Pelodiscus sinensis: one gene and its partners. The protein of the gene in region 1 purifies or fractionates together with the protein of each later gene. This does not show direct contact. Links are inferred from orthologs where the notes say so. Each region holds a gene or a part of one and is shown on either strand. Other genes may lie near its edges. The genes, in order: ABI1, EPS8, putative protein BRICK1 and CYFIP2.

What was found.
Region 2: the proteins of ABI1 (region 1) and EPS8 purify together in Homo sapiens (affinity purification with western blotting; 4 studies listed by BioGRID, with this or other methods). This does not show direct contact. The link is inferred for Pelodiscus sinensis from reciprocal best matches to the Homo sapiens genes ABI1 and EPS8.
Region 3: the proteins of ABI1 (region 1) and putative protein BRICK1 purify together in Homo sapiens (co-immunoprecipitation; 3 studies listed by BioGRID and IntAct, with this or other methods). This does not show direct contact. The link is inferred for Pelodiscus sinensis from reciprocal best matches to the Homo sapiens genes ABI1 and BRK1.
Region 4: the proteins of ABI1 (region 1) and CYFIP2 purify together in Homo sapiens (co-immunoprecipitation; 4 studies listed by BioGRID and IntAct, with this or other methods). This does not show direct contact. The link is inferred for Pelodiscus sinensis from reciprocal best matches to the Homo sapiens genes ABI1 and CYFIP2.

What each region holds. Positions count from the first base shown.
Region 1 is NC_134712.1:226,076,413-226,083,605, forward strand, and holds the start of ABI1 (abl interactor 1), read right to left. Parts: upstream 3,009-7,193; 5' UTR 2,890-3,008; coding exon 2,773-2,889; intron 1-2,772. UniProt on the Homo sapiens protein: May act in negative regulation of cell growth and transformation by interacting with nonreceptor tyrosine kinases ABL1 and/or ABL2. May play a role in regulation of EGF-induced Erk pathway activation. Involved in cytoskeletal reorganization and EGFR signaling.
Region 2 is NC_134711.1:112,321,673-112,328,710, reverse strand, and holds the start of EPS8 (epidermal growth factor receptor kinase substrate 8), read left to right. Parts: upstream 1-4,014; 5' UTR 4,015-4,148; intron 4,149-5,081; 5' UTR 5,082-5,161; intron 5,162-7,038. UniProt on the Homo sapiens protein: Signaling adapter that controls various cellular protrusions by regulating actin cytoskeleton dynamics and architecture. Depending on its association with other signal transducers, can regulate different processes.
Region 3 is NC_134721.1:46,503,349-46,509,804, reverse strand, and holds putative protein BRICK1, read left to right. Parts: upstream 1-4,368; 5' UTR 4,369-4,498; coding exon 4,499-4,616; intron 4,617-4,976; coding exon 4,977-5,059; intron 5,060-5,279; coding exon 5,280-5,306; 3' UTR 5,307-5,950; downstream 5,951-6,456. UniProt on the Homo sapiens protein: Involved in regulation of actin and microtubule organization. Part of a WAVE complex that activates the Arp2/3 complex. As component of the WAVE1 complex, required for BDNF-NTRK2 endocytic trafficking and signaling from early endosomes.
Region 4 is NC_134727.1:39,281,896-39,288,877, reverse strand, and holds the start of CYFIP2 (cytoplasmic FMR1-interacting protein 2), read right to left. Parts: upstream 3,027-6,982; 5' UTR 2,867-3,026; intron 1-2,866. UniProt on the Homo sapiens protein: Involved in T-cell adhesion and p53/TP53-dependent induction of apoptosis. Does not bind RNA. As component of the WAVE1 complex, required for BDNF-NTRK2 endocytic trafficking and signaling from early endosomes.

The DNA of each region.
Region 1 (7,193 bases):
CATCACCCTTAATGGATGGTGCATTTCAATTAACCCATGGAGGCAGGAGCAGCTCCCCATCTGCCACAGGCAGAGGGCTGCTCCAGCCCTATGGGTCCCAGCCCTTCCTGCAATAGGACCCATAGGGCTGGAACAACCACCTGCCTGTGGTGGTGAAGGTGGGAGACTCCATGCAATTGGGCTGGAGCAGCCCCTCCATCTGCCCATCCCTTTAAACCAGGCATGTCCAAAGTCCGGCCCGCGGGCCAATTGTGGCCCGTGTTCCGGTTTAATACGGCCCCCGCTTCCTCCCCCTCTCCCGGCTCCCCGGCGCTCTTTTGAACTGGCGCGCCCAGCGTGCCGCTTCCGGCCGCGCCGCCGCCGCCCATGGCCTCCGCGGTCCTAGAGCCTGCCCTGTAGGGCAGGTCCGCAGCCCTGCTCCCCCGCTCGGCTGCGGGTTCGCCCTGCCCCCGGGACGCCGTGAGGCCGGCGTGCCCTGTGCTCTCCACCCGCCTCCGACCCCGCGGGCCCTCCGCCTTGGGGCTGAGAGTGCGGGAACGGCCCTCACGCATGTTCACATCTTCAAATCTGGCCCTCTTTGAAAAAAGTTTGGACACCCCTGTTTTAAACCATTTAACTGGTTAAATATGTTTAGCTGGTTAACCAATTAAACGGGATTTTACATCCCTACTTTATACTATTCTAACTATAGAACAGATGGCTTTACACAACCACTAGGAAAATTGTTTTGCACTAAATGTCAATTTCTCATTTAGCACTTTTACTCAATTAGGCTAAAGCTGGACAGACTACATACTAGGTATAAAATCCACTAAACTACTACTTATTTATTCCCATTAGTTAATTCTGTTTCCTTGCAACAGGAATACACAGCTGTAGGAGGACAAAACTGTAAAATATACTGATTTGTGTACAGCTAGCCTTGATTCTTAAGGTGGTTCTTGGTTTGATGCGTTTCAAATGATCAATGAGGACATGTCTCTTAAAAAGATTTGAAAGCAACATGTAATGCCAGAAAGAGCTCTACAACTCTCCTGAAATAGAAAAAAGAGTTGACAGGTCAAAACATGTGCTGCAGTTACCACACTACTGTGTTTGTCATATTTCCCATGAGTAAACCCAAATGCAACCTCGCCTCTCTGAAGCATTTATATAACCAGCTTTTTTAGGGTGGAGCACGTAACTGAATAAGAACAGTTTAACCCTTATCGCCTGACACTGTGAGAAGGATTTATAGCCTTCTAAAACAAGTTCTGATTTGCTATTTGAATTTTAATTCAAATATCAAACAGCATTGCCTGACATGTCAGAAAAAAGTAATTTCACAAAGGGATGTTGAGGGATAGTTAAAGTTTGATAAAACCACTAAATTACTATCCCACTTGCACAAATAAAATAGTTGCTAGTTTCAGGCAAATGCTAAATATTAAAACATTAAAAGCTATATTAACTTTAAGTTACACCTAGCCCTAGGCAGTGATAGATTACAGTCAACAGGTTTACTTACATTGTAAGGAAAAGCCATAGTAAAAAAGCACAATTTTTAATTTCTCTTTCCTTAAGAAAGTTTTTCTGTGGACTACTTTGGGCATCTGGAAGGGCACTGTGTCCATTTCAGTTCACATGTATACATGCAATTATATCAATTATTTTCAGATGTATACAAAGATTACTATGAACATACTTTTCAAAGCCAAAATAAAAATGTACACACATGAGTTTTAAAAAGGGCTAAGGAAACTGAAGCAGCAAGATACAAGAACAAGTGCATTGGGGTGCACCTTGAGGCAAGAGACACCTGATTTAAAAATATTGCTATAGGATGTCTGAATTATGAAGCAAGCAGCTTTACTATCTCAGAAGGAGAAACTGCCATGCTGAAATAGCACATCATGTTTGCACATTACCGCCTATATACATGAGTACTGCTCATTGTAACAATTCAAAATCACCAGTACAGAATGCCAGGAATGCAATTCATGTATGTAGTTTTAAGTGAGAATTAGATGCCAACTATTAAAAAAAATCCACTGGGGGGGCAGGGCGACAGGGCGGGGGTGTCCCTTCTTTCTTCCCCAACATACAAACATATTTCTGCATTTGTCAGTCATTTGTATTTCAACACTCGCCACAGCCAGCATTTGCAAACCTCACACTTACATCCTTTCTGAAATTCACCTCTTTATACAACTAACAGGGAGAGAACACCCACCCCGGAAAGATGAAAAGGGCTGATGCCTATTACGTCTGTGCAACTGACTTAAGAACCCAGAACTTCAGGGTTTTTTTTTTTTTAAATGGTTAGTTTGATTATTGAAAATAACACTGTAGCCACTCCAAAGCCAAACGGCGGCGGGGGGGGGGGGGAGAGGGGGAGAAACGAAAGAGGAGGAGGAATTTGGTCTGACAGAGGCAGACTTTCAAGCGCTCAATCAGAGGCATATACAAATCCACCCTCTCCCCCATCTGGGCGCCGTGAGTCACAATAAAATAAATAATAAAAGAGACACACCCTCTGGGCTGAGCCGACAGAATCACCCCTCCCTGCTCACAAGCACAGGCGGCGTGGGGTGGGGGGAGTAAGAGGCACTGGGGCTAGAAAGTTGCAAGGCAGAGCGAAGAAGGGAGGGGGCGGAGGAACCGGGGCGCTGCGGCGGCGGCTGCCGGGCGATACAATGTATCGGCGGCGGCTCCTCCGGCTGTTGCAACATTCGGTGCCCACTTCCTGCACCCGCCAGTGCCGCCCTCCGCGCCCCGCCGGGCCGCCCTCACCTGGATGTAGTTGTTCTCGCAGTAGTCGGCCACCCGCGTGAGGTTCTGGTAGCTCTCGAGCAGCGCCCTCTTGCCCGAGGGGATCTCCTCCTCTAGCAGCATCTGCAGCTCTGCCATTTTCCTCCCCTCCGCATCGCTTCCTCTTGCATTAAAGAGACAGCGGCGGCGAGCCCACAACCCGCCTGGTATTGTGGGATTCCTCCTCGCCTCGCTTTCGTGAGGCCGCCCTGCTTTCCCCACCCACCCCGAAAATGCCCGTCGCACTGCATGCTGGGAGTTGTAGTCTGCTCCTCTCCAACCCCGCCCCCCTCCCCGCGGTATTTGGTTCTGGGAGTGGGCATGCGCCGGGGAAGCTGCAAGGTGTGGCTTGGGGTGGTTCTCTTCCCTTAGGCTGCGCCGTGGCTGAGCTCGGTGCTCGCTCCCACACGAGCAGTTTCTCACTAGAGGGAAAGCTGAGCTGTTAGTCCCACTCGTTTCACCGGCTTGGTTCAAAGCAGGATAGGGCTGGGCCAGCTGCAACTGAGGGAAATTAAACAGCATAGAGCCAGTTCCTCGGGGAGACCCGCTCTGCATTGCAACGGGGAGAGACAAAAGGCGTGACACTCAGTATTTAAACACCTTCTTCCCATCTACCCTGCCTCCCTGGATTATCCAGGCAGACCTTTCTCAGCGGCTGTAACAAACATTGAGATTGTCCACATATTAAAGACTTCTGAACGGCAGCCATTAACACTTTTCAGCATAACACTATTATTGCTCTTTTTTCTGGAATCAGTGTCCTGGTCTGACCTAGTGGTGCCCTTGTGCCACAAGATAGCAGATATCCTGGACCTGTACGTGGAGTTTCCAAATATAAGAGAAAGCAGTGATGTGAGATTTAGATATATTTTGATTAGAGAAAGCAGTCATATAGCACTTTAAAGGCTAACAAGATAGTTCATTAGGTGATGAGCTTTCGTGGAGCAGACCCACTTCTTCAGATCATACTCTGAAAGAGAATTGGTATGACCATTATGTAACAGAGGGATACAATGAAAAATGTAAACAAATTACAAACTAATGAATGGGCTACATAGAACAGAAGGTGGGGGCCAGGGGACACGGAAGGAGGAAATTGCTTATTAAGAGTTAATTAAGTGGCTAATCTGGACTTACTATGAATATCAAAAGGTGGGGAGGCTGTGTTTGTAATGTGTCAGGTAATTATCATCCATATTAAGGCCCATTCACAACCTGTCAAATTTTAGCATAAATAAAAGTTCTGAAGTCTCCCTCTGTAATCAGGTGTTAAAGTCTCTTTGTAGTAAGACGCATGTTGTCAGGTCTTTAAGGGAATGTCCAGTTTGATTAAAATGGTGGCTGATAGGTTTCTGTGTGTGGAGATGTCTGATGTCAGAACTTCAGCCTGCATTTTAATCAAACTGGCCATAGCATGCATGTCCAATAGCATGCAGATAATCATGGATTCTAGGAATCCAAGCCCAGCAACAGGTCCAATATCCAGTTGATTCCAAGGGAGCAATCTGGGCCTCAGGTATTTACTTTAGTCAGAGCTCAAGGCAAAGAGCCTCATACAGTTCCTTCTTTCCCCAATTGGCTTCTACACAGCAAAACCTCACATAACCCAACACTACCAACAATACAGCATGTCTTTACAAGATTCAAAATTTGCTTGTATGCCAAGGAGAATAATGTGGAAGAATATGTTTATAGGACCACTTGGTTATCATCTGCGTGACAGTGTGCTAGAGGCTAAAGAGCAAGCCAGCTGTCTTGTCACTTAGATGCCACTTAGTTCCCGAGAGAAAGCAGAGGGAGATAATTAGATAGGCTGACTGGGTGAGATAAGGAGTCAATTAGCCCATCAGCCCAAGTCTGATAGAGATGCACAGGAAGGAAGTGGTGGAAAGAGGCTAGTTGTGCTAAGTCACTTCTACATAGCAGAGCTAAACTCGAATTAAACTATGTAACTTCAGCTATGTCAATTGTGTAGCTGAAGTCGAAATAGCTTAATTTGCCTTTTGGCATAGTCTACACTGCAGGAAGTCGAAGGAAGAACACTTTTTCTTCAACTTCCCTCACTCTTCATGAAATGATGGTTACCATGAGTCAGAGTAATAAGTCCTCCAGCTCAACATTATTTTGAAATAAAGGCTTGTAGCATAGATGCACACTATGTTATTTGGGAATAACGCTGCTGTATAGATAGCCATAGAGGGCTCTGGGAAGGGAGATTTTTATTCCACTCAAGTCCAGAGGTGTGGGTCAAAAGCACTGCAGATATTGTAAACAGATTGTTGCATAGTGAGTGCTGTGGTGGCAGTGAAAGGAACTTAAAATGAACACGTACTACAAATGTGCAACCATTGAATTTTGCAGTTTCTTCACGGAAGACCCCACTTGCCACAACATTACTTCAGCCCCATTTGCAGACAGGGAAAACAAGGGCAAGTAACTCACTCAGTCTCACAAAGCAAGCCAACAGCAGAGTGCATGCATAGAGCACCTGCCCTGACTCCATGGGCAAATCTAGACTACCCTCAGCTTCAGAAAGAAGATATGCAAATTAGGTGTGAATTTGCATATCTTCTTCCAATCCCTTTTTCGGAAGAGGATTTTTGAAAAAAAAAAAAAGCAGTCTAGATGGGGTTTTTCACGCAAAAACCCCTTTTTCAAAAAAAACCTGTAAACCTAATTTTTTGAGGAATAAGGGTTCTTTTGAAAAAGGGAGGGTTTTGCATGAAAAACCCCATCTAGACTACTTTTTTTTTTTTAAATCCTCTTCCGAAAAAGGGATCGGAAGAAGATATGCAAATTCATACCTAATTTGCATATCTTTCGGAAGCCGAGGGGAGTCTAGACATGCCTCAAAGGTCATACTGAAAGAGAATAGAAAATGGTATCTTCAAGCTCTGCCCCTGGAGTTACGCTTGGGAGGAACATATATGGTCTCATGCCCCTCCTTAATATACCATGATTCCTGCATAGGATGCTGCCCAGTGCAGTGGCTGCATTCTCCCAGGTACCTGCTATGCTGCACTAGGCAGCATAGCCAGAGGCTGCCTGGGAGGAGGCACAGCGAGAAGGGGCGCTGCCCCACTAGGTAACATGCCAAGGAGATGAGGAGAGCTGGATCGGGGGTGGAAATAAGTCATATGGAGGTGGGGCTATGTGGGGAGATTTCATGGGGGTGGGAAGCCTACATTCCCCTTCAGCTGGTGCTCCCTTTGTGACCATTCCACTAATCAGCCCTGCTCTGTCCACAAAATGCTATCCTTGTGAGTTGTTTGCATGAGATTCTGCTCATAGTCGATCCTGTAGCTGTTTAAAACATGTTGATGTCATTAAGTTCTCTGAGTTCCATCTGGCTTCTTCATTTTGGCTCCCTCTCAGTGGGAGTTGCAGATACCTATGGGCTCATCCTTGGGCTTGGCTCATTTTTTATTGGCGGGAGAGGGGGGAGAGGAAGTAAGTGGTGCTATAGTGCAAACAGCACTCACTTGTGGCACCAAAATGAGACTTTACTCACAGTAATTTGTCCAGATCTGTGACCTTCTGTCTTCTTTCTTAGGCCTTGCCTGCAGTGGCAAGCTTTACCACTGGTGTGTAGTTACTAGGGATGTAAACTCCCGTTCAGTTGGTTACCTGATTACCAGTTAACCCATTAAAGAGGGCATGGGCAGAGGCTGCTCCAGCCTAGCCAGAGCAGTCCCTGCCTGCTGGGAGTTTGGGCCTACCACAGTCAGAGGCAGCTCAGATCATCCCCTATCCAAACAGGCTCCCTGTGGGGCTGGAGCAGACCCCTGCCCACAGCAGGAGGGGAGATGCTCCAGCCCCCACCAATTAACAGTTAACTGTAAACAGTAAGCATCACCGGTTAACCTTTCACATCCCAGCTATTAGTTACACGGGTATGACTTCCCCCCCATGTCAACTTATTCTGATATATGAGTGGTTTTGGCCTGTGTGCCTTGCGCGCTTGTGTGGCCACTCAGGATTCAAGTGCCACCCAGCTTATTAGCAGAGCACTCAGCTTTGTTCCTACGGTTGGTACATGTTTGCATATGCCTGGTACACACAGAAAAATGTATTCCGCGCATGGATAGAAAAATTTAGCGGGAACATTGGGTTTAGGGTTGCCAGCCACCCACCCACCCACACCAAACACACATCCTGTGTGGCTACTACCAAGAGCCACCAAGCTGGGAACAAAGCGGGAAGCAGCAGAGCCTGCTCTGCAAAAGCCGCTGTCTGCTACCCAAAGCAGAGAGGCTATGTCTACACTGGCGAGTTATTGCACAAGTACGGCCATTCTTGCGCAAGAATCCGCTGAGCATCTACACTGCCCACCCACTCTTGTGCAAGTAAATGTACAGTACGGCGTGATAAGAGACAGCTCCGTGCAGGCCTGGTCCACGTGG
Region 2 (7,038 bases), on another chromosome or scaffold:
GTATGTAGATAGAATGGGACTTAAAGAAATCATTGCTATGGTATTTGTATTCCTTATTTATTGGAACTGTTTCATAGGCTGACTTTATCCAGATTTAAATACATTTGTTTATTTGAAGTTCATCACTTCGAACTACATCTCATGATGAACGCGATCACTTTTAAAAGGGATGGCGATTGGCAGTAGTGGTTCGCAGTCATGTTTTAATTGAACCCACATGCCAGTGACCCTCTAGAACTGAAAGTTTGACTGTTAAGACTCTGGTTGTACTACATGTGTGCTCTGGCACTGTTAAAATATTACTCCTCTTTGCAGGTCAAAGGAAATTCTGATGAACTTGAGCAGGCATTAGGGATGCTGCCATTTTCTCCTCCTTGGCACAAAATGGAATTTTTGCTTTTACAGTATGAGGGGACAGCTGTACTAAATCACTCCCCCTCCCCCATATGTTGTATTCTTATTATATGGGTATGCCCTGGTATCTGGGCTGCAATAGCAACTCAAAGTAACTTTTTTAGAGACTACATCTCATGCTCTCTACTTGTCTTTCATCCTGGCCCTTAAGCGATCCCATATAAAGTTTGTCTGCCTGTGGTATCCTACATTAGATTAATATTCTTCAGAGACTAAGCTAAAGCAATAAAATTGGTTTACTTAAAACTGGATTGTAGAAGAAATGTGGCTTCTTTTCTGCTCCAAGCCACATGAGCCATGTCTTGTTTTCATTCAAAACTGTTAGGGGAATGAAATGTTTCTGCGGAGGCTACTTCACAATTTTATTTGAAGCAACCTTTGATTAAAACAAATGGCCAAATGAACATAGTGCACAGCGATGGCAGTAAGCGCCTTGCACAAATACTTTCATATAAAAGGGTTAGAATAATCAATAATTGACTTGTTAGGTGGCATAATAGATTCTAGAAAGAAAATTGTATCTAAACCTGTTGAAAGACAATTGCGGACGAGTCCAACGGGCAAAGTGATACCACTCCCAAGGCCTTGGTAGGAGGTGTAGGGGTGTGTGTGTGTGCGTGTGCTCGCATGCACGCGCCTCTCCCCCCATACCCTTTGGATAAGAGAGCTTATGTACAACAATCAGGTTTTTTTGAGGGGGAGGCAGCAAATATTTATTTTCATAATTTCACTTTTTTAAAAAGCTGGTTTTGAACAAGCAATTGTTAAATAATCCCTTCTGTACAAAATTCTTTATATATCAGTAATGGGATAGAAAGCCTTTTTATTTTTAGGTTGCTAGTTCAATTTCCAACTAGGAGCCCAATTCTGTATACAGAGCTCTATGCAGGTGTAAGTCTCTGCCAGAGCTCCCAGATCCTAGCCCAACAGGGATAGGAAAATATGCTTTGGTTTATATGGCCTGTGACAGTGTTGAAAGCTAACCGATATCCCAGCACTCTGGTCACTTAAGCTGATTATTTGCCCCCCAGAGAAGACTTGATTTAGGAATGAAGGACTTAATTACCTTAATCAGAATGTGAACTAAGATGGTTAGAAAGCACTGGAAGAAAGTGCAGAATGGGAAATGCTAGCAGAACTGAAGGAGCAAGCTGAGCACTCTCCATGGAGAGTGGGCTGACATCTGAAGAACGTTGTAGACAGAACTGTTGCTTGGACTGTGACGATAGTGGTAATATTAATAAACTACATAGAGGTGATAAACAAGTACAAAACTGTCTGGGATCACAGGACATGAGTGGAGCCTACGCTTTGCATGGTCTTGTCCACGCTAAGTAAATCAGTACCTCATTTTAAAGCAATGCTCTAATCTCTAATCTACGCTGGGTTCTCAAGCTGCTTTTTTTGGTTGGTCACTTTGTAATGAAAACCTGAGCTGGTTTCCAAGACCAGCGGTAAAATCACCATATTACAATCTCAGGGGCAGCTGCACCATTGCTGAAAAATGGATACTAATATTCCTAGTGGAGCTGCATCCCATAGTTGTCAATTTGGCAGCTGTCATCAACACTAAATCCATTGGAGCCAAAAAAAAAGGGAAAAATTAGTTGACTCTTTGCATTTCTGGATTGTATGCCAGGTAAATTAGTACAATCAAACCAATATTTTAAATCAAAGTGCCTAATTTGTACATTTCAGGGATTTTTAAAAATTATATAAGAGCAGCATCTCCGAGCATATATATATTGGCATGTATTTTGCTGTGTACCTGACAAAAAACTCCATGTTAATATGCTTCCATTTAGAGGAGAAAAATCATGCAGAGTGTATACAATGTTATACATAAAAGAAATTTTTGCAGTTGGACTGGATTTTTTCTACAGCTGACTCTGCTTTGCTGCTTTGATCCAATATTTCAACAGGGTTCAAATACAGTTATTAAGTGTCACACATTTTAACGTCCACTTAAAAGATCTGTATTATATATATAGAATTGGTAAATTAGTTGCAGATGCAGCGTAATTTTCCTTGACTACACAGTCTAATTTATTAAGAGATAAGTGTTTGTGTTTTGTTTCGAGATGGACTTTGAACTCTTCTTCCTTATTGGGTAGAATTTTCGGAACATGTCCTAAATGAACTCTCCAATTTTTAAGAAGAAGCTTCACATACAACCTCCGTGTTTTAATGGAGGTGTCACTGGTCTATGTGCATAAACCTTCTAGCACGGGGGGGCATGTTATAAGGAGCTTCATGGCACAGTGAAAGGCACAAAAATTCCCACTTCCTTCTACAAGTTGGGAGTTGGTTATATGATAGAATTTCCATATTTGGAGGCTGAGAGAGTGTACAACTGTGGCCTACTTATAAATTCTTCTGTGTTTTTCAAAAATCAGTGTGAAGAGAGATGCTATGCAAAAGTCACTCAGCGGGGGCACTGTCAAACATCCATTTAAAGAGCGTATCTGTCTCTAATAAACAGTATTATGAATGAGACTCTCGGTTTCTTGTCTGATCCATGTTATTTTTGGACATTTAGAATATGTCGTCACTGCATAGCTATTTCGGGATACCGAAGGTATCCCGAAATAGCTACCCCACATCTTCACAAGCCGCCCGTTCGAAATAACGAGCACTCTATTTTGGCATTCTGGCAACCATGCTTCCACGAAGGTTAAGGGATGTCTCCAAATAGGCTATTTCAAAATTTGGTATGTCTACACAGTGCCAAATTTTGAAATAACATGCTATTTCAAAATTCAATCAAAATAAGATTCGCAATCTCCATAGCTCAGATTGCGTATCTTATTTCAAGTTCAGGGTGCTTTGTAGACCCACCTTTAGTGATTTTTAGCTGTGTAGAGATTATATGAATTTATCTCTTTTGGCAATCCTTTTTTAGCACAAGTGAGGTTGCAGGATAGTGGTAAAAACTGGCTTCCTTATCAAGCAAGGCCAATGCTCCATCAGAGCTACGTGCCAGGGCAGTTTCAATATGGTCTCTTAGGAAGAGTAAATGGCTTAATTTTGGACAGTTGAATCAAAATAGCAACATGTCCATAAAAAGGAGTGAACAAAATCAACAATAAAGCATGAGCATGCGCATGAACTCCAGTGCTTGTCTTTGTAAACCATTCAGCTGAGAGGAGCTAACTAGAAAGCAAATGTTTTTAATGAAAAATTTTGAACAAATTTGTCCCCTCCTCTGGCAAATATTTTTAAAGTGAAATTTTTCATCCAGATATACCTTTGAACTTCCCAGGGCATCTTGTCTGCTTTGTCTCCTTTGATTTGATTGTGTGCGTGTGCTCTGTAGGATGCGGATTTATACAGTGCCAAGTACTCTGTCATGCTTAAGAAATAATGTTGAATGCAAAGTCTGGAAGATCCTCTTATAGACTTATTTAATGAGTTCCTGTAATATATTGCATATTCAGAAAATGCTGTGCTAATTATCAATAGTTAAAACTGTTAAAATGTGCTGAAAACACATTACAAACTTTTATTAAGGTTAAAAACATTGTAATACAGCCTTTAAATTTAAATATAGCTTATTTGAAAATGTGAATTGTCTTGAAATTGAAAAAAAAATTCCTTTAGGCAGCGTCGTGTAACCTGTGAAGAGGAGGGCAGGGAAAAAGCCAGGATTCCTGGATTCCATTTCTGTTGCTGTTACTAATTCATTGTGTGTACCTGCACTCTAAGACAATTTCTCAGTTCATCAAAATTAGCAGGTTGGTGAGATGAAATTATAAACCATAGTGTTTGTAAAACTCACTTTGATCCTACAATAAATGATTGACTTATGTAATACAAAGTATTAGTAATTATATATTAAATCAAAAAAGTAAAAACATCCTATGTTTCTGGTGCCTAGTATTTTCATAAGTTCATGATGTAAGTTCACTATAAGGTTGAACTGAGTTTTTTTTCCTTGCAAGTTTTAAAAGAGAAATAAACTTAAATCCACATAAATGAGGGAAAATTCCAACATTACCTATCCCCCATCATGACCTTAACAGAAGGGATACATGTTTGTTGAACTGCAATGAGTCTGCAGTTCAAAAAACTAGTCCTTTTACAAAACCGTTTGGTTGTTTAATGTGTGAAATTCTAAATTTTTCTATTGTACTTTAAATATATCCTAATAAATGTACTTTAAAGGCATGCTCCTAGAAGTGCAAAAACTATGAAACAATAAGATGTGATCTGTTTTAATTAAAAAGTCATGTAATTTCTGGTAATCTCAGCAGTTCTTGGGGGGGGGTGAGTTTAAATGTGAATTATAATGGTCTTTTGAATGAAAGTGTAATAGGCAGCAAATGACTTTGTAGTTTGTCAACAAATAGTACTGTTTCTTAGTTCACATTCTGATGGTGATAGAGTATTATAGGATGAACCTCTCTAGTCCAGTACCCTGGGGACCTGACTGGTGCCAAACCAGAGAATTTGCTGAACCGTAGGAGGTCAATATTGTCTAGCAGCATCACCTACACTTCCAGTGCTTGCTGGGTTTTTAGAAGTCGTGTAGGGGTGAATTAGAGCTAAATAAGAGCACAGATAAGTGGATCAGTGTAACTAAAATCATGCCGGACCATAGATATTGCTGGATTAGAGAGGTTCAACCTGTGTATTAACTCAGTTTGTATTATCACTTTTTATAACAGAAGCTGAAACTTTTTGCCAGCATTTGAAAACAAGAAAATTCCTTCCTGTGCTGTATTTATCTTGAAATTCTTCAGAGCAGGTTGGTCTATGTTATACATAAATATGTAGTCTGTATTCATAACATTCAGGATTCTTTAAAAGCATTAAGAGCTTCTTATGCCATTTACTTGCCCTCTCCCTCAGTTTTTCCAGAAATAATTAAGATAGTAAAATGATGGACTCATTATGCTGTTCCCCAACCATAATGCTCACATACTGATCTGTAACATTTAGGAAAATATCAGCTAACTCCGTCTTCCAAAAAGTGACCTTACCCATAGCCAGGGAATATGAGAGCAAGAGGTGCTTAAACATGTGTCATTCCATCTTTTCTTGACTAGAAACTTGAAAGTGTTTGGCCGTGTCTTTAGTGAATGTCAATTGGAACAACTGACAGTCAATTGACGTGAAATTTCCTGCAACATTCTTTGCAGAACTGGTGACACCTTGCTGGGTGAAATGTCACTGTTCTCAAATATCTGTGTATGTATGTATAAAAGGCACTGAGTGTGCAGAATTACAGAAACAGTCTCGTTAAGTGCAGCCCAACCTGCCGTGCTTGCCAGGATGGAAAATCTCCCCAACCAGCAGCCAGCGCAGGGAGTAATGGGAGGAGAAGGGGAGCAAAGTGGCTCAGTGATCTGGTACCTCCTTGAAGTTGGCACCCAAGGCAACTGTCCTGCCTACAACAAGCCCTTGTTATTAGAGATGTTAAAGGTTAAACAGTTACCCGATAAACATATGCCTTACCAGCATGTTTACTGGGTAACTGGGGGGGCTCACTATCCAGAGCAGCATCCTGACCAGCAAGGCCCCAGTAGCTCTGGATGCCAGGGCTGATGCAGTCCACAAAACCGGAGAAGCCCCCATCCTATAGTGCAATCGGGCTGGAGCAGCCCCCTGCCTGTGGCCAGTGGTTAACTGGTTAAACAAACAATTTACTGGTTAACTCTTTTGGACAATTTTTACATCCCCGTGGGTTGTATTGTATCATACCATGTAATAGTCAGTGCAGATGTATACATTCAGCCAGCTAAAGGTAATGTGTACATTTGTATTGTCAGTCATTTTATTTCTTTCCCTGTAAAATTGAATTGGGCAATGCAAATATGTGAAAGTGAAGAGGACCACTAATTAAGTAAAAGGTTAAAATGGCCAGCTGGAAATGGAGTCGTTGCATGTGGTAATTTGTTGGTGAATCCCCACTGTTGGGGGAAGAGGGAGAGGAGAAGCCATTACAGATTGTCGCTCAGTTGGCATCATTATGTCTGCTAAATTTTATTAACTGTTGTAGCTGGTGAATTTGCCATGGACTTTGCATTGAATAAAGATAGGCCCAGATCCCTTGGCCCCATGTTCAGCAGTTTGCTCTGCCAGGCAATGTAAAGTAGCTGGATACCTGGCTTATGAGGCACCTAGGGATGTCCTTGAAATAAAGACTCTTCAGTTTGCATATAGCAGGCAAGGCAAGATGGGGTATGGCCACAATGTGTTATATTTTACTACTCCCCAGACACTATTGGTGCTGATGTAACTTAGAGCAGCTGAATGGTAGATATACGCTTAGGTCAGAGACCAAACCTGCACCCTGGATTCTGTGCCAAATGTAGCTCCAGTATAAGTCTGGGATCTTGTCCATAATATTAGAAAGCTGTTGTTTGATCTAGAGTTTTTGGAGTTTGTAGACTCGGGATTTGTCAACAAACGGTGATCTATCTGGTTTAATAGTAGCTAGTGCTCAGTCACCATCTGATTCTGTGCTTGCGAACACATTGAACAAGAGCAAGAGTCTTATGATCACCATATAAAATGGGCACCAGGCACTATAGTGCTACTTCTGCATATCGATTTATATGGTTAGCACCAGGTAGATAGTTCTGACATCTTTTTAGGGAAAAGGGAACTCTGGTATCTTCA
Region 3 (6,456 bases), on another chromosome or scaffold:
TTTAAGTAGTGTTTTATACCGACAGTTATTTCCACATGGAAAGGGTAATACCCTGTACTGGTATTGGATACCTTTATATTAATACAACTGCACCCACTCTAGCATTACCACCAGTATAACTATTAACAACACCCCCTACTTGAAATAATTACACGGTTACAAAAATTGTGTGTAATCCAAGCCCTACATTAAAAATTGTACAAATGCAAAAAGGGGGTTTGGAAACAGCACAATGGCATGGAAATGTGAATGGAAAACAGAGTGACTAGGAAGAGAACTTCCAATTGGTTCTGAGATTTTTTTTCACCCTTTTGGTAAAGATTTTCATACCTCTACTCTATTAATACTAATGTAAATGAGCTGAAGATTAAAAAAATCTTTTGCAAAAGTGTATAGTAATGAGGGACTTGGAAGAGGAGAGAGAAGGTATGGCAGGCTGACATAAGGGCAGGTCGATTTAAGCCACGTTAGTGGCGTAACTCAAATCATTGTAGCTTAAATCAATTTACTGCATGGTCTCAACCATGCAGAATCAACAGAAGCCATTGACTCGTCTTATTCATCTCATTCTGGTGCAGAAGCCTCAACAGAAGAGTGTTTAACAGTAAATTTAGCGGGTCTTCACTCGACCACTAAATCAACCTCTGGTGGAACAATTGCTGTGGACAAGTCAAGACAAATTATTCCTAAACACCTCCCCTTTCTTATAAGGGGCTGCAGACAAATTGGCTTCACCTGGCATGAGGGGACTTGAAAGGCTTCTCTTAGGAAAGAAAGCGGCAATGGACTTTTATTTTAGTATAGCAACTTTACCTAAAGTGTGTGTTGGGAGAGAGAAACATTCTTAAAAGCTTGTGCCTTCGCAGCTATTTTCAGAAAGCTGGCTGGTTTGGAAAGGCATGTATGTGTTGCAAGCATACACTGAGATCAGTGTAGACACACTGCACTGGAGCTAACTACAGATGTCTGAAGCATATGTAAAGTTTTAAAAGTGACCCACGCTAATCTGTACATATACGATAATGAGGTTTCATGGGTACAACCCCCTTCATCTGAAGAAGTGGGCTGTACCCACGAAAGTTCATAATATCTTCATTTTTATAGTTTCTCAAGTGCTGTAGGACTATTCATTGTTTAAGGTCTTTTTAGTTACACACTAACATGCTAACCATCTGAAACTTTACAAATATATTAGCAACCTCAAATAATCTGATAATTAACTAGAGGTAAAGAAAAAACAAAACTTCGGACAAGCCCCAAAGTAACAGAAAATCATGTTTCAGGCCAAGTGGATAGGGAAATACAGGAGCATCCAGGCTGTTCTGAAGCTTTCCAGAGAACAAAATGCTTAAGTTTACCATAGAAAGTAAAGGAAAGCTTCAAAGATTTCAAGAGGGACTTACTGTGGTCAGCGCAGTAGGCAAAGTCAATGGAGAATTTGAGAGCACAGCGTGCAAAGGTATTTTTGTCCCTTCCGGCAAGAAAGCCAAAAAGCATGCAATGTCACTTTTGAACACGAGTGACTGAAGGAAGGCCAAGATCATGACATTTTGAGACAATCAAACCACTTTTCATACAAAGTGCTGCTGTAGCTGTGCTGGTCCCAGGATATTCGAGAGACATGTGGGTGAGGTAATATCTTCTATGGGGCTAATTTCCATTGGTGACTCGGTCCTATAAAAGATATTACTGCACCCCCTTGTGTGTCTCAAGCCACTCTATACTCAGGATTTGGCACTGATAGCGTGTAAGGAATATCTCTAGCTGCTTTAAGTCTGCCTGTCAGTGTGTGCAGACTTCTAGCTTGTGCAGTGATAAAGACAGTCCACAGGTTTGATAGATGCTGAACTTTGACTCCTCACAAAGATGCTTTTGCATCTGTAGAAGTGAGACATGGACTTCATGCAGAAGGCAGCTATTTCAAGGAATGTCTGGCTTGCTACAATTGGTTTAGCTCTTGTTGCAGCCTCCGTAGAGAGAAAGGCATTGCTGTAGTCAAAATGAGCAAGTCAGGACTTAGGCAGATCCTAAAAATTATAAATTTAAAAAACAACAAATAGTCTGGTAGCACTTTATAGACTAACGAAACATGTAGATGGTATCATGAGCCTGAAGAAGTGAGTTGTGCCCAGGAAAGCTCATAATACCATCTTCGTGTTTTGTTAGTCTGTACAGGATAAACTTAAAAAACAACAAATAAAACTATAAAGTGCTACCAGACCATTTGTTGTTTTTTAAGTTTATCCTGTACAGACTCTCTCGGCTACCCCCTGAAGGTCCTAAACATTATATCTAGGAAAAATTGGTAGGACTGGGAGGCATATAAATGTGTTAAGAAAACAAATAGGAGAGGGGCACTGAAGATACAAAGGTTGAGAAAGACAGGGGCAGCTAGAGCAATTGATGAGGGGGAAAGATTTTTGTCAATCTTGGATATTAAGTTATTACCCATCCTAAGCACTATAAACTTCCAAGTCTGTTTTTCTGAGAGTCAAAAAGTAAGATGACACAAATTCATCTTTTAAAAACCTATATTTTTACCTAAACATGAGATATGTTTTACCTGCTCTGTATTAGAAAACCATAAGTCTTTCATCCCATACCTAGATTTCTGTGACTAATCTAGTTCTTCCTGAAGCCTTTATAACTTCCAGTATGAAGAATTGAGGCTTAACGGGTCTAAAGTGACCCCCACTGCTCCTGACCTATCTACATACCCCCACAAAAAGTATCAGGGAAGAAAAATTCTAGAAGAAAAACAATAGCTGGGAACACAGTTAAAAAAAGACATTTTAAACACACCAAATATTGATTAATTTCATCCTTTATAATCACTGTTTACTTTGAGCAATAATTTAAATATCTTCCATGACAACTCACTGCTTAGGCACTGTACTAAAGTCTTGAGTTTCTCTCGAGTTTCTCACTTATTTTCATCTCATTCTGAAAGAAATGTTGATAATCAAAGAATATTGAGCAGCAACCGATTTTCAGCTATATTTAATGTCAGGATATTATGCTACTTGCAGCTGAAGTGCTTCCCCGCAGCTTTAACATTCAATTTTTATTTAAAACAGTACTCTGATATCCCCAACTCATATCTCTGGTCATCTGAAGAAGTGGGCCATGCCCACGAAAGCTCATGATCTCAACTACATGTTTCTTTAGTCTACAAAGTGCTACCAGACCATTGTTTTTTTTTTTTTTCTGTAACAGACTAACTCGGCTACCCCCATAAGCTCAAAAAAGCCTTTGTGAGCTTAGCTAGAGTTACTACAAAAGCCTAGGACTTATGTCACGAAATAAAATTATCTGTGTGGCAAATGCTGATGTTCCAAAGCATAGTAAGTGTAGGAGAGGTAATGAACACAGTTTCCACACAAGAAACAGCAACTTCCCACACCAACTGACATAGCAGATCTCACAGTGAACTCATAGTGCAGCACTAACCGTGCATTCACATGTGTAAGAGTGCGCACACATGTGTCACTCACAGGGCAGCTCCAGCTCACAGTGTGTGAGAGAGAGAGAGTGTGTGCGCGCGTGTCACTCACGGGGCAGCTCCAGCTCACCGTGTGTGTGTGTGTGTCTGTGTGTGTGTGTGTGTCACTCACGGGGCAGCTCCAGCTCACCGTGTGTGTGTGTCTGTGTGTGTGTGTGTGTGTGTGTCACTCACGGGGCAGCTCCAGCTCACCGTGTGTGTGTGTGTGTCTGTGTGTGTGTGTGTGTCACTCACGGGGCAGCTCCAGCTCACCGTGTGTGTGTGTGTGTCTGTGTGTGTGTGTGTGTGTGTGTGTGTGTGTGTGTGTGTGTCACTCCCGGGGCAGCTCCAGCTCAGTGTGCCCGTCTCTCTCTCGCAGGGCGTCGAGCCCAGCCCCTGCCGGCAGCCCCAGCCCCGTCGCGCCCAGGCCTGGCTCCCGCGCAGACTCAGCCCCCAGCCCCCGCGGCCTGGGCCGGCCCAGGAACCCGAGCTGGGGCTGCGGCCTTGGCGGGCTCTGCCCTCGCCCGGCCCGCAGGGACACGGTCTGAGGGGGGCCCGCCGCCCCGCCCCGCCCCGCTCCGCTCCCCCGGGCCCTGCCGCGCAGCGCGGTACCTGCAGGCCCGGCTCGCTGACGCCACTTCCTACTCCAGGGCCCCCGAGCTGCAGCAGCAGCAGCAAACGGCAACAGGCGCGGCAAGGCGTGCGCGCTCACGAAACAGCGCGTAGGCGCGCGCGGCCGCCAAGGGAGCCAATCATCGCCGTTGACGCAAAGGCTGCTGGGAAACAGAGCTATAAAAGCCCGGGAGCTATTTACGTTTTATGCCTCCCGAGTTTGCTGGAGTTCTTGCGCCTGCGCACTTGGGGCGAGGCGGGACAGGACTCAGTACTGGGCGGGGGGGTGTCTCATAGCAACGGGAGAGCGGGGGCGCTGCGCGCGCGCGTTGCTGTTGCCTTGTGCTTCGGGTCGGCGAGGGGCGGGGCCGTTCTCCCGCGCAGGCGCAGTGCGGGGCGGCCGCCATGTCGCTGCAGGAGGACCCGGTGCAGCGCGAGATCCACCAGGACTGGGCCAACCGCGAGTACATCGAGGTGATCACCAGCTCCATCAAGAAGATCGCGGACTTCCTCAACTCCTTCGGTGCGTGCCCCGCCCCGCCCCTCCGCCTGCTCCGGCCCCGCCCCCGCGCCCTCCCCGGCCCTCCTGGCCCCGCCCCCGCGGCCCAGCCCCTCCGGCCGCGCCCCCCGCGGCCCCTCCTGGCCCCGCGCCCGGCCCGGCCCCTCCCGCGGCCCTTCCGGCCCCGCCCCCACGGCCCCGGCCCTCCCACACCGGCCCTCCTCGCGGCCCTGCCCCGCCCCCAGCACTTCTGGCCCCGCCCCCACGGCCCCGCCCCTCCCACCCCGGCCCTCCTGGCCCGGCTCCTCCCACCCTGGCCCTCCTCGCGGCCCTGCCCCGCCCCCCTTGGCCCCGCCCCCGCTCTAACGGCCCCTTCTCCCGCAGACATGTCCTGCCGCTCCCGCCTCGCCACCCTCAACGAGAAGCTGACGGCGCTGGAGCGACGCATCGAGTACATCGAGGCCCGGGTGAGGGCGGGGCCGGGACCCTGCTGCGCCCGGCGCCCTCGCTGTGCCTGGGCCGTGTCCCCAGCCGCGCCGGCTCCTGCCTCCGCCCGGGGCTCCCTGCAGGGCTGGGGGGGGACCGGGAGCCCGGGAAGGGGGACGCCGGCCCGGGAGGAGCCTGGCCTGCGGGCTCCTCGTTCCCTTCCCCGGCCCCTCGCTGAGCAGGCTGTGCTCTCCTTTGCAGGTGACGAAGGGCGAAACGCTGACCTAGCTGCAGACGCCGGTGGGGAGCCGACCCGGAGAAGACCGGGCTGCTGCGCCGCAGCCGACTGTCGGGATCTGATTTCTTACTTCCTGCCATTGGCGGGACTTTGGCTTGTTTCTGCCCCGGTTGTCCTGCCTTGGGCGCGTGGCTCCAGGGCGACTCCAGAGAGAGTTGATAACATGCCAACGAGCACGTTGAATGCAGTAATTTTAGCCAGAGTCGTGCACCAGTTAACTCCTCAGCCCCTTCACCTCTCTCTCATTCCCCGCTATGCATGTAGAACTCCTCCTGCACTTTGTAACTGCAGCATCTCGCTGGCCACAGGTCTCTTTCCGGGAAGAAAACCTCTCTTGGAGCTGACCGGCTGAAGGCCTGATGTTTGGGAGCCACCCCGCCGATGGTTTCGGTTCCTTTAGCAAGCGCTGCAACTTGTGTCTCTTAAGCAAAAACATCAAGCGCCTCCCTCCTTCCAGCCCGGGAGCAGAGCAGTAGATGTGCAGTGTCTGGATGGGGCAGGGAGATAGGTAATGTGCCAAGATCAGCTCTCTGGGCAGGGTGGGTTTCAGAGTTTTCTATGTCTTTTGTATTGTGTAGTGTCACATGGGGGGGTGTCTCCCGGTTGTGTTACCACAATAAACTGTCTCTGCTGACGGGGTCTGGGCTGATCTCTAGCTGGAGTGCACATCTGGATTTCCAGGGGGCGGGAGCAGGAGCGTGGCCATGGAGGGCAGATGGGCTAGAAGAGTCTGGTGCTATTACTATAAGAGGTGCAGCTGCTTTTTGCTATTCTTGTCTTCCTTCCTTGTACCTCCCCCAAAATGATCAGGGATCCTAGTTGTCTGTGGCTAACCCCCCACCCCCAAAAATAAATCTGGCCAAAGGGTTCTCTTTGTCTGCAAGGTCTGCTTCTGTTCCTCTCTACGTTCACAGATCTGGGGGCAGAGTTCCTCTGAGTTGTCTGCTATTCAGGGCTCTCTGCTTGGAGTCCATTTACAATTCCCTGGTTTTTGGCCTTTTGACACCTCATGCCTGTCCTTGCTTTTTGCCTTTGTTCTCCCCTGAGCTTGGTTGAGTCCTGTCTCCCTAGGCAGGGGCAGGGCTTTTAGGTGTGGAGTGGGCACAGAACTCAGGCCATTTTCCTGTAGCCATTAGGGAT
Region 4 (6,982 bases), on another chromosome or scaffold:
AACATACGGAACACTGACAGTGATGTGTCAGCGGGAGAGCAGCTCCCACCCAAGTAGCTTCCGCCACTCGCAGAGGTGGCTTTATTATGGCGACAGGAGAGCTCTCTTTCACATCGGCATAGAGCGTCTCCACCAGACATCTGTACAGCTGCAGGGCTGTATGCCTAGAAATGGCCTTTGTCGAAGAATAATCACAATTGCTGGGAGATGGCAAAAAATAGCTGGTATTAAATAGCCTCGTGTGAAATGAAATGTTGCACATAGACAAAGAAATATCACTGATTGCTAATCCCTTGAAGAGCAATTTCCTCTTTTTCTTGAAGACAGACAAGTTGATACATGCATATTATTATTATTACTACGAATTATTACATTGTTCCGCCTTTGACTCCTCAGTGGTCATGTTTGTTCCATGGACCCTCGCTTTGGAATCATAGAACCAGAGAGTTGGAAGAGACCTCAGGAGGTCATCAAGTCCAGTCCCCTGCCCAAAGCAGGACCAATCCCAACCAAATCAATCCAGCCAGGGCTTTGTCAAGCTGAGACTTAAAAACCTCTAGGGATGGAGACTCCACTACTTCCCTAGGGAACCCATCCCAGTGATTCCCCACCCACCTAGGGAAATTGTTTTTCCTAATATCCAACCTTGACCTCTCCCACTGCAACTTGAGACCATTGCTCCTTGTTCTGCCATCTGTCACTACTGAGAACAGCCTCTCTCCATCCTCTTTGGAATCTCCCTTGAGAAAGTTGAAGACTGCTATCAAATCCCCCCTCACTCTTCGCTTCTGCAGACTAAACAAGCCCAAATCCCACAGTCTCTACTCGTAGGTCATGTGCTCCATCCCCCTAATCATTTTGGTTGCCCTCTGCCGGACCCTCTCCAATGCATCCACATCCTTTCTATAGTGGGGGGCCCAGAACTGGACACAATACTCCAGTTGTGGGCTCACCAGAGCTGAATAAAGGGGAATAATCACTTCTCTAGATGTGCTGGCCATGCTCCTCCTAATGCAACCTAATATGCCATTCGCCTTCTTGGCTACAAGGGCGCCCTGTTGACTCATAACCAGCTTCTCATCCACTGGAATCCCCGGGTCCTTTTCTACTGAACTGGTACTTAGCCAGTCCATCCCCAGCCTGTAACAGTGCCTGGGATTCTTCCATTCCAAGGGCAGGACTCTGCACTTGTCCTTGTTGAACCTAATCAGATTTCAAGGCATCAGCTGATTACATAAACGTTGCTAACAAAAATCAGCCGTATATATTAGGGCTAAATTCCTGTCTGAGGAATGACGCTGGATTTACACTGAAAGTGGACAGCAGAATTTGGCTCCAGGAATCTACCAAGGTGACTGGCATCTGGCAGCCCTCCTAATGTAAAACTTGGACATGTTTTTTTTTAGTTTCCTGGGCTGAGCAGGAAGTGTCCAACGGTTTAACGACCTGACACAATTACGGGAGACCCCTGTGATCCAAGAAACACAGCTAGAAACAAACCACCATGCTGAAAGCAACGGCTGGCTAGGAGGGCCGAGCTATGCAATATCCTGTTCCTTGCCAAACTACAAACGTGTGTCTGTAAATGCCAGTCCCCTCTCCTCCCCCACCAAAAAACCAAACCCCAGCAAATACACAGGAGCAAGCACAAAGGTTTCCACTTGTCTCTCACTGGTCAATCCTGATTCCTCGGGACATGGACGTTTCCTGCCAAATCCATTCCCTTCTTTTTACTCAGGGCCTGTCTGGCACCAGACTGGGAGTGAACGTGCCTCTCCTTCTTTCAAGCCCACTCAAACGTCCTGGGTTCGAAAGTTCACCTCCAGCGTGATGGGTGGGCCCCCCTCTTGTTTTGAAAACGTCTCACCGCTGAAAAGTGGCCGTGAGTTTAAATGACAGGAGAGAAAAACTGGTCTGCAACCGCTGTGGGATATGTGGCTTTGCAGACTTCCAAGCCTGTATTTTTGGTTCCTCACTCAAGCCAGCCAAAGTTCAAGTCCCTAATTTCCACCCTCAACGCAAACTGCAACCGCGTCTGCCTCCTCCCCTGCCAGCAGAACCAGGGGGGCACTTTTGATTCTGTTCTGTTCACTGTGTGCGCCTTCACCTCTGCGAGCCACTTGCGCCTTTTATTTTCTGCCCGGGCTCTGTGGCCACGCTGGCTGTGTACCCCGCCGTCCATTTCCCTTTGGGCCGCCCCATTGTTCTTCCACACCCATGTCCTCGTGTCCACGCAGCACGGCTCCGATATGGGCTCGAATTAAACGCTGCCCTTCTGGCCAACTCCTGGCAATGAGGGGAAGCGGCTGCGGTGGGAGGCTGCTGGCTCCCCCAGACTGCAGCCTCCTGCCAGCCCCTCACTCTAAGCTCATCCCATTTGCTGCAGAGGGGAAGGGGGGGGGGGGGAATTGGGCCCTTTAGGCTGCCTGGCGGGTGCACTAGAATAAACAAGGAGGCTCTGGATAAGCCCGCAGCATGCTGGGATCGCTCATCCTGCAACAGCCCCTGCGCTAAGCTGGGCCCCGCAGCGCTCTGTGGCTCGCAGGGCGCAGCTGCACCTGCCCGCGGTGCTTTGCATGGGGACCCCGCACCCCAGGGCCCGTGCAAGCCCGGGGAGGGGGGGCTGCGAGGCACCCCAGGCAAAGCCGGGCAGGGCTCCATGCGGGGCCGGGGGCTGCCTGCCTGGGCGAGCTGTCATGGCCCGGGGCCAAGCGCCCCCCCAGCGGCCGGGATCCCCCTGTTGCGCGGTTCCAGCCCGGGCAGGGCGCAGCGAAGCGGCACCGGCCGTGCCCAGCCCGGTGCTCCCCGGGCCGCCCGGCGCCCCCTGCCCGCGGCGCCCCCAGCCCGGCCGGGCCCCGCCGCTTACCGGCCGCGAGAGGATGCTCCGAGCCGCAGCCGCCTGCGCCGCGATCGGTGTCAGACACACAAAGAGCAGGAAATGGAGCAGCAAGTGCACTTCCTGCGCTGCGCGCCCGCTGCGCGCCCCGCCCGCCTGCGGGATGCTCCGTGCGCCCGCGCCGCGCCGCGCTGCGGGGATGGAGCGACTGGTCCCGCCCTGCGCGCCCCTCCTGCCACGCACACCCGGCACCCACCCACCGCCCTCCCCCTGCACCCACACCCTCCGTCAGCTCACACCCGGCACCCACCCAGCGCCCTCCCCCTGCACCCACACCCCTCCGTCAGCTCACACCCGGCACCCACCCAGCGCCCTCCCCCTGCACCCACACCCTCCGTCAGCTCACACCCGGCACCCACCCAGCGCCCTCCCCCTGCACCCACACCCTCCGTCAGCTCACACCCGGCACCCACCCACCGCCCTCCCCCTGCACCCACACCCTCCGTCAGCTCACACCCGGCACCCACCCAGCGCCCTCCCCCTGCACCCACACCCTCCGTCAGCTCACACCCTGCACCCACCCACCGCCCTCCCCCTGCACCCACACCCCTCCGTCAGCTCACACCCGGCACCCACCCACCGCCCTCCCCCTGCACCCACACCCCTCCGTCAGCTCACACCCGGCACCCACCCAGCGCCCTCCCCCTGCACCCACACCCTCCGTCAGCTCACACCCTGCACCCACACCCCTCTGTCAGCTCACACCCTGCACCCACCCACCGCCCTCCTCCTTCACCCACACCCCTCCGTCAGCTCACACCCTGCACCCACACCCCTCTGTCAGCTCACACCCTGAACCCACCCACCGCCCTCCTCCTTCACCCACACCCCTCCGTCAGCTCACACCCTGCACCCACCCACCGCCCTCCCTCTGCACCCACACCCCTCCGTCAGCTCACACCCTGCACCCACCCAGCGCCCTCCTCCTGCACCCACACCCCTCCATCAGCTCACACCCTGCACCCACACCCCTCCATCAGCTCACACCCTGCACCCACCCAGCGCCCTCCTCCTGCACCCACACCCCTCCGTCAGCTCACACCCTGCACCCACCCACCGCCCTCCCCCTGCACCCACACCCCTCCGTCAGCTCACACCCTGCACCCACCCACCGCCCTCCCCCTGCACCCACACCCCTCCGTCAGCTCACACCCTGCACCCACCCAGCGCTCTCCCCCTGCACCCACACCCCTCCGTCAGCTCACACCCTGCACCCACCCACCCTCCTCCCCCTGCACCCACACCCCTCCGTCAGTTCACACCCTGCACCCATCCAGCGCCCTCCCCCTGCACCCACACCCCTCCGTCAGTTCACACCCTGCACCCACCCAGCGCTCTCCCCCTGCACCCACACCCCTCCGTCAGCTCACACCCTGCACCCACCCACACCCCTCCGTCAGCTCACATCCTACTGCCACCCACCCACCGCCCTCCCCCTGCACCCACACCCTGCGAGGCTGATCTGAGGAATAGAAAATCTTCCCTCTGTGGAGACACAAACAACTGGGCTTGTTTGGCCTGATCTGAAGAAGGTGGAGGGAAGATCTGAGCGCTCTCTCTAAATACACCCAAGGGAAACATACCAGGGAGGGAGAGGAGGGATTTCAGTTATGCGCCAGTGTGGCCACAAGAACAAATGGATAGATACAGGCCTCCAACAAGTCTGGGCTTGAAATAGAATCACAGAACTGGAAGGGACCTCGAGAGGTCATCGAGTCCAGTTCCCTGCCCTCGTGGCAGGACCAGGCGCCATCTAGATCAGCCCTGACAGGTGTCTGTCTAACCTGCTCTCAAATATCTCCAGAGATGGAGATTCCACAACCTCCCTGGGCAATTTATTCCAGTGTTTAACCACCCTGACAGGGAGCTTTTCCTCATGTCCTACCTAAACCTCCCTTGCTGCAATTTAAGCCCATTGCTTCTTGTCCGATCCTCCGAGGCCAAGGAGAACAATTTTTCTCCCTTCTCCTTGTTGCACTCTTTTAGGTACTTGAAACTGCTACCATGTCCCCTCTCAGTTTTCTCTTTTATAAACTAAACAAGCCCAATTCTTTCAGTCTTCTCTCTTTGCTCCTGTCCTCTAGAACTTTCATCGTATTTGTTGCTCTTCTCTGGACCCTCCCCAATTTCTCCACAGCTTTCCTGAAAAGCGGTGCCCAGAACTGGACACAGTCCTCCAACTGAGGCCTAGTCAGCGCAGAGCAGAGCGGAAGAAGGACTTCTCGTGTCTTGCTCACAACACTCCTGTGAAAGCCGCCCAGAATCAGGTTTTATTTTTTTGCAATCTGATGAAGGTTTCTGTCCATACGAGGAGGAAGTTCTAGCACAGCCTTCCAAGGGGAGTTGTGGGGGCAAACATTCGAGCTGGCTTCCAGTACTAAGTAGGATACGTTTATGGAGGGAATGGGATACTGGCAACAAGGCCCAATGGGTAGAATTTGAAGCTAGACAAATGAGTACACAAAATAAGGTGGAAGGCGGTAACAGAGGGGGGATTTATCCTCTGGAGCAAGTTTCCAAGGGGTGTTGGGGAGTGTCCTGCTCTGGAAATCTTTAAGTGAAATGTGGATGTTTTTCTATGCCCGTACGGTCACAGCTAGTGGACTTGGAACAGTAATAAGCCAGGGAAGTTCTGTGGCCTGATTCATACAGGAGGTTGCACTGGGTCAGGGGTGGCCAACCAGATAGAGACAAAGAGCCAAAATAGCTGTGGATAGAGTGTGAAGAGCCATGTATTATATATTTAGTTGTATTGATGGGGGGGATGTATGGGGATGGGGGGGTATAGACAATTTGAAGTGCCTGTTTCCCTCTAGCTTGTTGATCTCTGGTATGGTTTACTCGTTTTTTTACTTATGAAGATGATGGCTTTTTTCTAGTCCTAAAAATTCAATCTGTCCCAGACTGCAAATCTGAGAGGTTCAAAACAATATGGGAGAGACCCACATCTCAGAATAATGGCTTCAGCCTGGCAAACAATCGCCTCTGAATTTTCTTTAAAGAAACCCAGTGTAAACTAGGTACATGCTGATTCTTTTTTTGCCCTGGGATTTAAATATGACATCTGTGTTGGCTGCCTTATTCTGCATCCATGAGGACTTTCAGTTTAAGGTGTTTCAGCCCCCCTGCTCTAACCCAATCCCCCCTCTCCCTCAGAGCCAGGCATCCCCCAGCCTCCCTGCAATAACCCAATGTCCTCGTCCTCCCCCAGAGCCAGGCACGCCTCTCCCCCCACTCTAACCCCATCCCCCTCACCTCCCCCAGAGCCCGGCACCCACAGTCCCCCTCTTCCCCCTGCTCTAACCCAATGCCTGGGTCCTGGAGCTGCTGCCACCATGCGCTTCTCCCTCCAGGCACTGGGGCACGTGTGCAGAGGGGCCGGCCGGGAGCAGTCTGGGCGTGCAAGAGCCACTTTTCTTTAAGCAAAGAGCCGCATGCAGCTCGGGAGCCGCAGGTTGGCCACCGCTGCACTAGATGATCACCGGGGCTCCTCCAGTCTTAAAATCTAGGACACTCTGGGCACAAAGTTTTAAAAGGATAGCGCTCAATGAAGTGGCCGTTCAAGCAAAACTGTGTTGGGTAAGGGGCTGATCTCAGGCTGGTTCTTTGCCTAAAAATTAGCCCCACCGTTGGGAAGCTGGCTGCCGAAAAGCCAGTGCTGGCGTGATCCATGTCTTTCAAAGCCTGTGACGTGAAGTCAGGCATCCATGATGTTCGGGCGCCCACGTGTGAGCTCGGTAGTTCCCAGAGCTGCTTGGCATCTGCCAAGGGCTGCTCATTTCTAGGCGAGCATCGTGGGAGGGTCGACAGAGGGGGCAGAACGCAAAGAGATCCCCTTTCGTCTCATACACAAATGCGCAACGTTGCTCCGCCTGGAGTTGTGGTCTGACTAGCGTGACTGTCTGCTAGAGCGGGGGTTCTAAACGTTTTGGCCTGCAGCCCACCCCACCCAATGACAGCCTTTCCACGGACCGCCAGCCAACCACCCAGATGACAAAAAGAGTGCAGGAGCGGGTGGGGGTGCGAGGTTGGGGTGGGAGCGGGCTGGGGATGGGGGTCAGGCTGCGAAGTTGGATGCAGGAGCAG